Linked DNA regions of Danio rerio. The protein of the gene in region 2 purifies or fractionates together with the protein of the main gene of each other region. This does not show direct contact. Links are inferred from orthologs where the notes say so. Each region holds a gene or a part of one and is shown on either strand. Other genes may lie near its edges. The genes, in order: kif5c, klc2 and kif5aa.

What was found.
Region 1: the proteins of klc2 (region 2) and kif5c purify together in Homo sapiens (affinity purification with western blotting; 3 studies listed by BioGRID and IntAct, with this or other methods). This does not show direct contact. The link is inferred for Danio rerio from reciprocal best matches to the Homo sapiens genes KLC2 and KIF5C.
Region 3: the proteins of klc2 (region 2) and kif5aa purify together in Homo sapiens (affinity purification with western blotting; 3 studies listed by BioGRID and IntAct, with this or other methods). This does not show direct contact. The link is inferred for Danio rerio from reciprocal best matches to the Homo sapiens genes KLC2 and KIF5A.

The regions. Positions count from the first base shown.
Region 1 is NC_133184.1:24,804,351-24,808,010, reverse strand, and holds part of kif5c (kinesin heavy chain), read left to right. Parts: intron 1-355; coding exon 356-473; intron 474-952; coding exon 953-1,029; intron 1,030-1,592; coding exon 1,593-1,702; intron 1,703-1,847; coding exon 1,848-1,949; intron 1,950-2,329; coding exon 2,330-2,390; intron 2,391-2,521; coding exon 2,522-2,593; intron 2,594-3,322; coding exon 3,323-3,427; intron 3,428-3,660. UniProt on the Homo sapiens protein: Microtubule-associated force-producing protein that may play a role in organelle transport. Has ATPase activity. Involved in synaptic transmission. Mediates dendritic trafficking of mRNAs.
Region 2 is NC_133182.1:6,694,970-6,699,176, reverse strand, and holds the start of klc2 (kinesin light chain 2), read right to left. Parts: upstream 2,948-4,207; 5' UTR 2,893-2,947; intron 1-2,892. UniProt on the Homo sapiens protein: Kinesin is a microtubule-associated force-producing protein that plays a role in organelle transport. The light chain functions in coupling of cargo to the heavy chain or in the modulation of its ATPase activity.
Region 3 is NC_133184.1:246,347-250,006, reverse strand, and holds part of kif5aa (kinesin family member 5Aa), read left to right. Parts: intron 1-2,087; coding exon 2,088-2,175; intron 2,176-2,992; coding exon 2,993-3,066; intron 3,067-3,660. UniProt on the Homo sapiens protein: Microtubule-dependent motor required for slow axonal transport of neurofilament proteins (NFH, NFM and NFL). Can induce formation of neurite-like membrane protrusions in non-neuronal cells in a ZFYVE27-dependent manner.

The DNA.
Region 1 (3,660 bases), on a different chromosome or scaffold from region 2:
TGCGCCCCCTAGTGATCAGTATCCAGACACATGGGCGATTCTTCTCTTTGATCTCCTGATGATTTTAAAAAGAAAGAAAAAATGTAACGGCTCTATTTTAAATGGTTTGTAAGTTTCATTTTTTCACAGCTTTTTTTCTCATTTTAAGAATAGTGATATATAGATTTTTTTTGCAGATTATCTGTTTTAGTTTTCCTGTATACACTTTTTATTTTTGCCCCTATATTAACTGATTAAAGATTGTTACATTTACAAAAAGGTTTTTTAATGTTCTATTCCATTAATATAAGTTCTTAAGCACAATAATCTAAACATTGTTTTTTTGTGTTTTATGTTTTTTTCTTCCTGTGTCCAGCATCAAGCAAAGATCAAATCCCTCACAGACTACATGCAGAACATGGAACAGAAGAAGAGACAGCTGGAGGAAAGCCATGATTCACTGACAGAGGAACTCGCTAAACTCCATGCAGAAGGTCTTTGTGGTTTAAAATCTTGCTAAATCTGTCACAAAAAAAATGTGGTAATGTGAAAATGAAAAACAAGCACACTTAAAAGTAAGTTTGAACACAGCTATGGATAAACTTAGGAGACCAATTGAAAATAATCTACATTTATAGCAACAAAAATGCCTTTCATAAAAGTTTACAGACATTTTATATTCATTTTTACACAACAAAATGCCAATGTTTTAGCTTTAAAAGAGTTAAGAAATCAATATTTGGAGGAATAAACCTCATTTTCAATCACAACAAATAAAAACATTTTTTTTAAAAAGATTGCTTTAATCGACAATACCATCATTTGAAATTAGAAAGATATTTTACTCAACCCCATACCAAATAAATCCATTAAATCCAGAGGAACTGAACATTTTTAATTGGTTATATAATTTTTCCATGTCTGTAGATTTAAAAATATTCAGAAATCTTTGCCATCATTTTGGTTGTTACAGAAAGGATGCATGAGGTTTCAGTCCTGGATAAGGAGAAGGAACACATGAGCAGAATGCAGGATGCTGAAGAAATGAAGGTGAAAAACACAAACACTGCCTCTGAAACCTCAAGCTACTATGTCCATAAGAAATAGACATCTAAACATACACATCTTGGCTAAAACAAGGCTAAATTTGGGCTCTCTGTAAAAATATAACAGATGCCTTAGAGTAGCCCAAAGCGATTTTTACCGACAGCTCAATATTCACCTTTTTTTTTAACCACTAAGTTAACATTTATACATCTATAAGACTTATTTTGAACACAAAAAATGCTTTCAGGGCAAGTACATGCCATTATCGTATCTGAATTTTTTACACAACATTTTGACAACACAAACACTCTTCTGGGCCTCATTTGCAGCTACATTCTTTAAGGGTCAAAGTAGATGTTGTTTGCTGGAAGAGTTGGCATTTTACTAATGTGTTACAAACCTATGCAGGGGATTGACAAATCATTTCAGGCAATTCAGAATCAATAACTCAATTTATTGTGCAATTTGATCTTTAAACCATCATATGTACACTTTAAATGTAATAACATACATGATAAATGTTCAAATAAATAATAGTATATATAAATCTGTGTGTCTGCATATAGAAAGCCCTGGAGCAGCAGATGGAAAGCCACAGAGAGACTCATCAGAAGCAGCTTTCACGTCTGCGGGATGAGATCGAGGAGAAACAGAGGATACTAGATGAGCTAAAGGAGTAAGTGCTTTTTAGTTTAAAACACAATATTAATTTTGAACATTCACTTTTGGGAAAATCTGCTCATGCCTGGCCTTAATCAAAATAAACCAAGACCCATTAAAACGGTTTGATGCATTCAGTATTTTTTGCCATGTGATGACAGTGTGAACCAGGCTCTTGAACTTGAACAGAAGAAGCTCATGTCTGACTACGAGAAGCTCCAACAGGAGGACCAGAAGAAGGACGAAAGGCTACAGAAGCTTCTGTGAGTTCACTGCTCATTAAAACATTATCTAAATCATCTGCTAATGAAGATTAAAGGTATAGTTAATTCAAAAAATGGATATTTATTCACCCTTCACCTCAAACCTTGAGAATTTCTTTCTTTTGTTGAACACAAAAGAAGATGTTTTGAAAAATGTTGTAAACCAGTAGCCAATGACTTCCATAGTAATTGTTTATTCTACTATGTAAATAGTTACTGGTTTCCAACATTTTGTGTTCAGCAGGAAAAAGAGGAAGGTTTGGAAGCATCTGAGGGTGGGCGAGCTGTCCCTTTACAGATAGATTTTAAATTTAAGCAGCTACAGTATGTGCAACTCCTAAAAACCTTTCTAATCGCATAATTATTGTTGTTTTAATCAGCTTTTTGAATGAGAAGAAGGAGCAAGCTAAAGAAGATCTGAAGGGTCTGGAGGAGACTGTGGTGAGCAAGATTACTTTACACAGCACATGATTTTTACTTCACCTAGAGTTTATCTCATAGCTATGCATAGATTTTGTTCTTATTGAAAGTCAGTTTTAGATAACTGATCATTCAGTTCTCTCTTCTACAAGGCCAAAGAGCTCCAGACTCTCCATGACCTGCGTAAACTGTTCATCCAAGATATCAATAATCGCATTGGCCGAGTGAGTATCCAAAACAGCGGCTGTTCTATTTTTTATATGTACTTTTTTGATTATTATTTTTTTTTTTGGCACCGGCACCATTTTGGCCATTTTGCTTCCTTAAAGAGAAGTCATTGTTTACCCACCCTTTACTTGTTACAAACCTGTTTGATTTTCTTTATTCTGTTGAACACAAAAGATGATGATGTCTTGACGAATGCTGGAAACCTGTAACTACTGATTTCCATAGTAGTTTTTCCTACTGTGGATGTGAGTGGTTACAGGTTTTCATCCTTTCTATCTCTTCAATGCTTAAATATTGTTTTAATGCTATCTTTAAAATTAGACAATATCCTGAATATGCATATTATTACATTTTATCTACTACATTTCTATCATTTAAATTTTAATATAATTAAAGGCTGTTTTATTAAATTATATTTATTTATTATATATTTATAATTATTTTTTTTCATTTCAATTTTGTCTATATCATGATGTTTCTTTTATATAAAATGAATAACTTGTTAAATATTCCTGATTTACAAAATATTTTATTGCTAAAATATGAAATTATTATTTGACTATTCTTTTATTGTTTTACTAATTATAATAATTATGTTGTATTTTTACTCTAGTGTCTTGCCTTAAAATAGTTCAACTACATACAGTTTAACTTATGGTGGAAAAGTTTGAAGTTTAATCTGTTTTTAAACTTTGAAGTTTAAAGTTTTTTTTTCTGTTTTGTAGAGTGTTGAATTGGACACTGATGAATCAGGTGGAAGTCTGGCACAAAAACAGAAAATAATTTTCCTGGAAAACAACCTGGAACAACTCACAAAAGTCCACAAGCAGGTTTCTGAGTTTTTTTTTTATACTTTTCACTAACAAATTATTGATACATTGATATAATATAATATAATATAATATAATATAATATAATATAATATAATATAACATAACATAACATAACATAACATAACATAACATAATATAATATAATATAATATAACATAACATAATATAATAATAATAATAATATAATATAATATAATATAATATAATATAATATAATATAATATAATATA
Region 2 (4,207 bases):
TTTATTGTTGATCGCCAGTTGGCATCATTAACCCTTTAGATAGGCCCTTGCAAAACAGATTAAGATTTTTTTTATGGAGTTCTATGGAGAGATGCGCCAAGTCTCTCTCACACACGCACAATGTGGGCACACTGAGGGCAGTCTGTCAAGATGAAACCACTTAAAACAACTAAATATTTTAGAGAAAGCAGTTAAAGTTTGCATAACCAACTGTTGATCTTATCCACACGCGAACCACCCAATTACCTGGCCAACGGATTAACGACAGGACTTGCGAATAAAGCGAAGAACTGCACATAACAGTGTTTTATGCATCCCAAATATGCAATGTCAAGAGAGTGACTCTATAAGGTAACGTAAACTGCACACACTTGATTATGTAATGTGTGAAATCGCTGACACACGTCAGCACAAGGATAACTTATCCTATAAACATCCATGCTTAATCGGTAATCGATAAGTTATCTTACAATGTGTGTATATTTTTGGCTTGGAATTGCCTTTTGTTAAAGATTTTTGTGTTCATCCTTGCTACAGGCAAAAAATAAAACCTCCTTTTAAATAATTGCACTTTCATTAAAACAAAATCCAAGTATCAGAATCGGTACTCTGTTTCAGCAAGTACACAAATTTAAATATTCATACTCGTATCGGCTTGTAAAAAAAAAATGATATCGGTTCATCCGTGCACATAGATAAACAAAAACATACAGATGAGGTCTTAACAACAAAATGATTAGCCTGTAAAACTTTAATTAAGTGATTAAGATGTAAATTAGCTTGTCATGTTGTACATTGTCCCTGTATAAATAAAATAAATAATTATTTGTTAAATATTTGTAAAAGTAATGTTTAATCAAAGCAAGACCTTTTTTATTATTATTGTTATTATTATTATTATGTTTGTCTCCTGGGTAAAGTCTTATTTGTTTTATTTTGCAGGAATTGGGAAAAAAAGCAAAAAATAAAAATGTAACAACCGCTAAAATCAATATTTTTACGCCCTAAAACATTTGAATTTTTCCGAAGTATCTTGCAAAATAACTAGCAAAATATCCTAGATCGCCATCATAAAGTTATTATTAAAAAAATATTATGTTAAAACATTATTTCTATGTTAAGCATCACTCGTTAGAAGATATCTGAAAAATAATTTCAAGAAAGCTAAAAAAAAATTATATACAGTAATGCATGTATGTGTATTATACTAAATACTAATTAACCCTTGGGCATTGTTCAAATTGACAACCCTTTTGTTATTTGGTGGCTGTTTTTGTTTTATTGTCTTCCATTATAACAATTTTTTTGATTGCAAGCCATGACACCTTATGCTTTCTTGATGCTTGTTTTCCTTGTTGAAAAGAGGTAAAATGTGTCATTTTTACAGTAGATGTGTGTCAAAATAAGATTCATCACCAAAAGCCATTGCATTTGCTGAAAAGTTGTGGCAATATTAAGCCTCAAAGTCACCCTGGAGTGGATGAAAACACCCCCAACAGAGACAACAAGGGTTAAGGCTATGTATATAACTATATAATACTTATGTATACAATATTTTCCACTTTGTTTTTGTTGCACAAACCACCAGAAACATACATACAACAACTCAATATAAATTGTGAACATAAAAACCTAATATAAAAATTGTAAAAATATATATTTTTAAATCCACAAAGTATAAATATTCAGAATCTTTACATTCAATGATTTTAAGAATTACCAGTTAATAAAAAATATAATAAGTATAAATAGTATAATGATCTCAGATTTTTTGCTTTCAACAATTTCACAGTAAAATAATCTAAATAAATACTAAAACTACTAATACTAAAACTTCTGTTTGTGTATATGAAATTTTGCTAATAAAATAAAGATAAAACAATATAATCAATGTACAAATGACTGCAGTAACATGATGACATTGCTAACATCATCAATTGAGGTAAAGTTGGTTTTATATTCACACATTCATTCAGTGACAACTTCAGACACACTCCCTGTATTGTTTACCATGGTACTTTGAATATTCAGTATGAAACCACATGCAAGTATGACTTTAAAACAGCATTAGCACTGTTTGTTTGACTTTAAACAATGCTGTACTTTGCTAGTCATTGACTGCTAATATGATTTAACTATTTAGAATTGGCAAATCATTGTTTTCTGAAATTATAAAAAAGGAAAAGTTATAATGTGTGAATATAAAACCAACTTCATCATCACCGTCGTCGTCATGAGTTTATTTGACCTGCACTTCCACCTGCGTCCAGCAGAGGCGCTCTTCGTCAGTCAACACGCCTATTGACTGCAATGCAGCACCAGCGGAGACAATCACCCCAAACCACGAGACCACCAGCACAAAAATACAGCAGACCACCTCACAAACACAAACATACGCCTCACGTGGTCAATTTACACCCTAAAGTTATTAAAAGCAGCCCGATAAACTCAGGAGGAATCTGGAAAAATCCATCAAGGTGACCCGCAACATCACCACAACATCCCTCATCCAGCACAGCAAACAAACGCAGGCCCTGCTCTCATTAACAAACACCCAAAATATAAACATACACATACAGTGAATTTAGCTCACTCAAAATGCAGAACATCCTCATGCGACGTTATTTAACTAAATGAATGTTTAATTCAACATTCACTGCATCATCACTGTCTGGATGACGGCGATTATAAACGACCGAATGTATAACAAAAACTCTTTAAAACAGTCTAAACAAAGTGTAGTGTAACAGATACTCGTTTACGCTAAACATTAAGCACAATTCAATTACAACAAACAGCTATTGTTTTTAGCAGACCGGGGGCTAAACTTTGCTCCATTCAAACTGACTGCAGGTTAGCATCGCCGCTAATCAATGACAAAAACGAGCATACCTTTTATAAGCTGCTTTATGGATGGGGTTCAAACTTCTAATGTGGTTTAATGGATTCAGAGATGTCCAGATTCGGTCCCAAAGGCGATTTAGCAGGTAAACGGTGTGAGTCCCATCGAGTGTTTGGTGCGTTCGTTTGTTTGTTGTTATTAGCAAAACCGCCGCTCGTGCGTTTGCTGACCCGCTTTCGCTTCGTCCATTTTTCTCGTCCCTTTCAGCTCTGCGTTGTGAGGATGTTCGCGTTGAAGTGAAAGGATGAGCACAGCAAACTGAAAAATGGCTGATGTGTGTGTTTGTGCTCCCAGAATCCACAGCCTGCCCCCCCTGCGCGCTGACGTTACTACACCCGCCCTCCAGAACCGGGCGTGGACGGCGCTTGGTGGGCGCGCGCGCGTGCCCGATAAACGCAGAGTGGGTCTTTATGGCTTGTGAACGTTATAAAAGTACTATATTACAATCTTAAGCAAATCTTAATCTTAAAAAAACAGCCGCAAAAATAACATTACACACATATTTTTACATTACCAACACATTTAGTTATCTTTTTAAAGGTGCCATGAAATTAAAGAAATTTTTTTAGATGTTAGTATTAGTATATAGTAGTTTTAAATATATCTATATGCTAGTGTGCTCTGAAACAGTGGTTGCAGTGGTTACTGGTCTGACCAGTATTTGGAATCCAAAATTGTTTTAATTGAAAAGCACCTTCATATAAATAATAGTATGGTAAACACTATAGTGTTTTTGAACCATACTATAGTAAAGTGTACAAGAAAAAGTAGACCGCTTTGTTAACGAATAATTCAATGTGCATAAGCCTAACTACAGTTAACTTTTAAACTGTAACATTCATTCATTCATTTTCTTTTCGGCTTAAAGGCTGATTTATACTTCTGCGTCAAACACCGGCGTATGCTACGGCGCTGACGCATAGCCCTTCGCCGTGGCCATCGCCGTCGCTGACGTGCACCTCTAAAAAAATGTATCTACACGTTGCAACGACGCGTAGCGTGAGCTCTGTGATTGGTCGGCTTGGTAGCGCTGACGAGTCTGGGCGGGACCGAGAGCCGCGCGAAGCCGCGCGAGCGATTGTTTACAAGTGTGGAGTAACGTGAAGGAGCTCCGGATGGAAAGTTTTGTTTTGTGTTTACCTCATAGTTAAAGTTGTTGCACGTCCGCCGGTTCCTGCCTCAAAATGAGCGAGTTTGAGCCACTTGTACATTCAGGAAGTGTTCAGGAAGTGCAAAAAAGTAGCGAAGAAACTTGACACAGAGGAACATTTACACCTCACTGCCAACTAGCGTTTCGAAGTGTTA
Region 3 (3,660 bases), on a different chromosome or scaffold from region 2:
AACATGATATTAATAATGACGAGGTGCTTCAGGATATCACCAGCCTCTCTTGAAAAATATTAAATTAGAAAATCTGCAGTGAACAGCAGCTGCATCCTCATTATATTCCAGTATAAGATGTGCTGCTTTTTATTGCTCATGTTGTGTTTCTAGAATACTCTAAAGGTTACTCGTGAAATGTTTCTCTCTATTTAACTACATTAAAAATGAAAGACGACTTCCTATATTGATCGATTGCGTCTCAGAGTGCTTGTATTCTTGCACACATGTTGAACTCGTGATATATAATAACTGTTTGCATTCGCCTGCACTAAAATAAATGACTCATTGGATGAACAAATGAAGTTGAACGCTACTAAATTGAATTTGTTTATTTAAATTCAGCCCTTATTAATAGTTTGCAGCTACTTACCTTAAAAAAAGTAGTAAATCCAATTCATTTTGTTTTCCAGTGTAAACTGATTTGCTGGAGTCAAAAGCACAGAGCGTGACGGTGAATAAAGCAATAGAGGATTCTGCTTATTCATCAATAAATCTATATTTTTAGGATTTGTGACGCGACAGCAGTCAGAAACAGGAGAAGGAAGCTGATTTACCAGAGAGAGCTCCAGTTCCAGTCATCCTGCTCATGATTCACCATCTGCAGGAGCATCTGATGACTCAATATATGATCTTTAGCTGGAAACTCTACACAGGCCCATAGCCTGTAGAACAGGGGGGTTCGGGTGATTAGAAAGACCATAATTTGTCCCTTGCATGGGTTAATTTGTCCTATTTTTACTGCTATGCCTTCATAAATAGTGAAAGTAATCAGTGGAAGAAGGCTATAAGACCAAGCAGAATCCTCTGTTGGCTGTCATGATCTCAGCTGATTAGTTTTGTTCAATGCTAAGAATTATTTCTTAGCACCAAAAGCAGCCCATATTAAATTAAATTTCCAGATATACTTTTGTACAGGAGAGGCAAGAAAAATCATGATGCTTTTCATCATCATGATTATTATTATTATTATTATTATTATTATTATTATTATTATTATTATCATTATTATTAATATTATTATTATTATTATTATTATTATTATTATTATTATTATCATTATCATTATCATTATTATCATTATTATTATCATTATTATTATTATTATTATTATTATTATTATTATTATCATTATTATTATTATCATTATCATTATTATTATTATTATCATTATTATCATCATCATTATTATTATTATTATTATTATAACTATTATTATTATCATTATTATTATTATTAGCATTATTACTATTATTATTATTATTATTATTATTATTATTATTATTATTACTATTATCATTATTATTATTATCATCATTATTATTAATATTATTATCATTATTATTATTATTATTATTATTATTATTATTATTATTATTATCATTATTATTATCATTATTATTATTATTATTATCATTATTATCATCATCATTATTATTATTATTATTATTATTATTATTATTATAACTATTATAATTATTATTATTATTATTATTATTATTATTATTACTTTTATCATTATTATTATTATCATCATCATTATTAATATTATTATCAATATTATTATTATTATTATCATCATTATTATTATTATCATTATTATTATCATTATTATTATTATTATTATTATTATCATTATTATTAATAGTATTATTAGCAATAGTAATAAAAGCAATATTGACTGGAGTAATAGTTTGTTTGAAACTACATACAATAAAAAAGCAGTTACCTAAAATGTCAATAAATATTTAAATATTTAACAATTTAACAATTTTTCTACATTTAATAAATGCCGCCTTGATCAACAGGATAATTTTCCTTAAAAAAAACCATGAAAATGGTAAAATTGAGCTCAAACTTTTGACCGGTAGTGTACATATCAAACATACAGTATGGCAACTTCAGATATTGTTCCTCTGCAAAGCAGCTCCAGTAAGCCTGATCAGTTTAGCCTGGTCTTCATCTCTGTGCTGTGATCTGTGGTTTAATCAATACCTGAGAGCGTACAATGACCTTTCTCTCTCCTTCTCTGTGTTTATGTGATTTAGGGAAAGTCCTATGCGTTCGACCGAGTGTTTCCCACCAACACCACTCAGGAGCAGGTCTACAACACCTGTGCCAAGCAGATCGTCAAAGGTCAGATATACGGCACACCTCAAACCTGAGTTACACTGATATACAGCTCCAGCTGTACTGATAACCTGATCATCAGGCCAGAGGAATCAGTTCTACACTTCAATATGATCCAATTTCCCATGTCACGCTAAACGAACAGTTCTACAAACGTCCTAAAACACAGAAGCAGCCTAATGTTAAAGACCTTTTATACTCCTTATACAAGCTGTGAATGCGTCTCTGCTGTGTCTAGAGTGTGTGTGTGTGTGTGTGTGTGTTTGAGCTGAGAACAGCACACAGATAATGTTCTCCAGCTCTCTGAAACTGCCCCTTTCAGGCTTTGATCCTAACCGTGGCGTTTTGGTGACTGTCGCTTTAAATGCAAATGAGATTGTGCTTTTTTCAGAAGAGGGCGGAGCTACAGACGCCTATAATAATATCATAAACAAAACTATTCTATGCTAATGAGATGGAGGGATGGGCACTAGTGGGCGGGGCTTTCCCTCTCTAATGACACGTACAAAGGGAGAATGTCAATCACAGTGTTTGTGCAGACTGTAGGTGCCGTTTAAAACAGGACGAACTCTAATGTGTTTAGTTTTAATGTTGAAAATCGTGATCAAGGACGCTTTATGGGGTGGAAAGATGGAAAATTTATGATTTGCTTTGGCCAAAAGCAGCCACCCAACTGCTAACTTGACAAATGTTGATTAATAATGCTCAGTAAACTAGATTTCAGTCATGTTTTCTGTCTGCACATTGTTTGTTCTGTGAAACACAATGGGCTCTTTGTGATTATTAGGTTGTTGTGTTGTTTTAATCATATGTGTGTGTGTAGATGTGCTGGGCGGCTACAACGGCACCATCTTTGCCTATGGACAAACCTCCTCTGGAAAGACTCACACCATGGAGGTACAGTACCGTCATTGACACCTTCACATTCGCTCACACTTGATTTTAAGATCTCTTGGAAGAGTAAAAAGGGTCACCGTGTAAACGGTGGAGACACAACTGACTCTCAAACCAAGGAGAGATGAGACATTATTCCCAGAACACACTCATCACTCATTCAGAGAATAAGCACAACACTTTCAGATCATGCGCCTGGTGCAACAACACTTTTTCCCCCTCTAAAAAAAAGCAGCGCCTTTAGACCATTACAATAGAGCCCTGAGAGTTAAAGACACCACTCGACTGCTTGTCTTCTGCTGATTGCACAGGAAACCGAAGTGAAAGTGCTACAGTGTGCAAATGGAGTGCGCCTCCAAAGCAAGAGCAAAACTAAGAGCAATAAATAAAGATATATAAGAACACAACAGGCGACCAGTTAGCATGCATACATTCAGTAAACTGGCACAAGTTAATACAACCGCAACACAATACAACACACAATACATTTACTTAATATATAAATGGATCAAATGCAACCCTGAACCCCAGAATGGGTTAATTTACTGTGTTTTCAGTCTTACTCTGCTTACCATGATAATAAGCGTTAAAGATTTA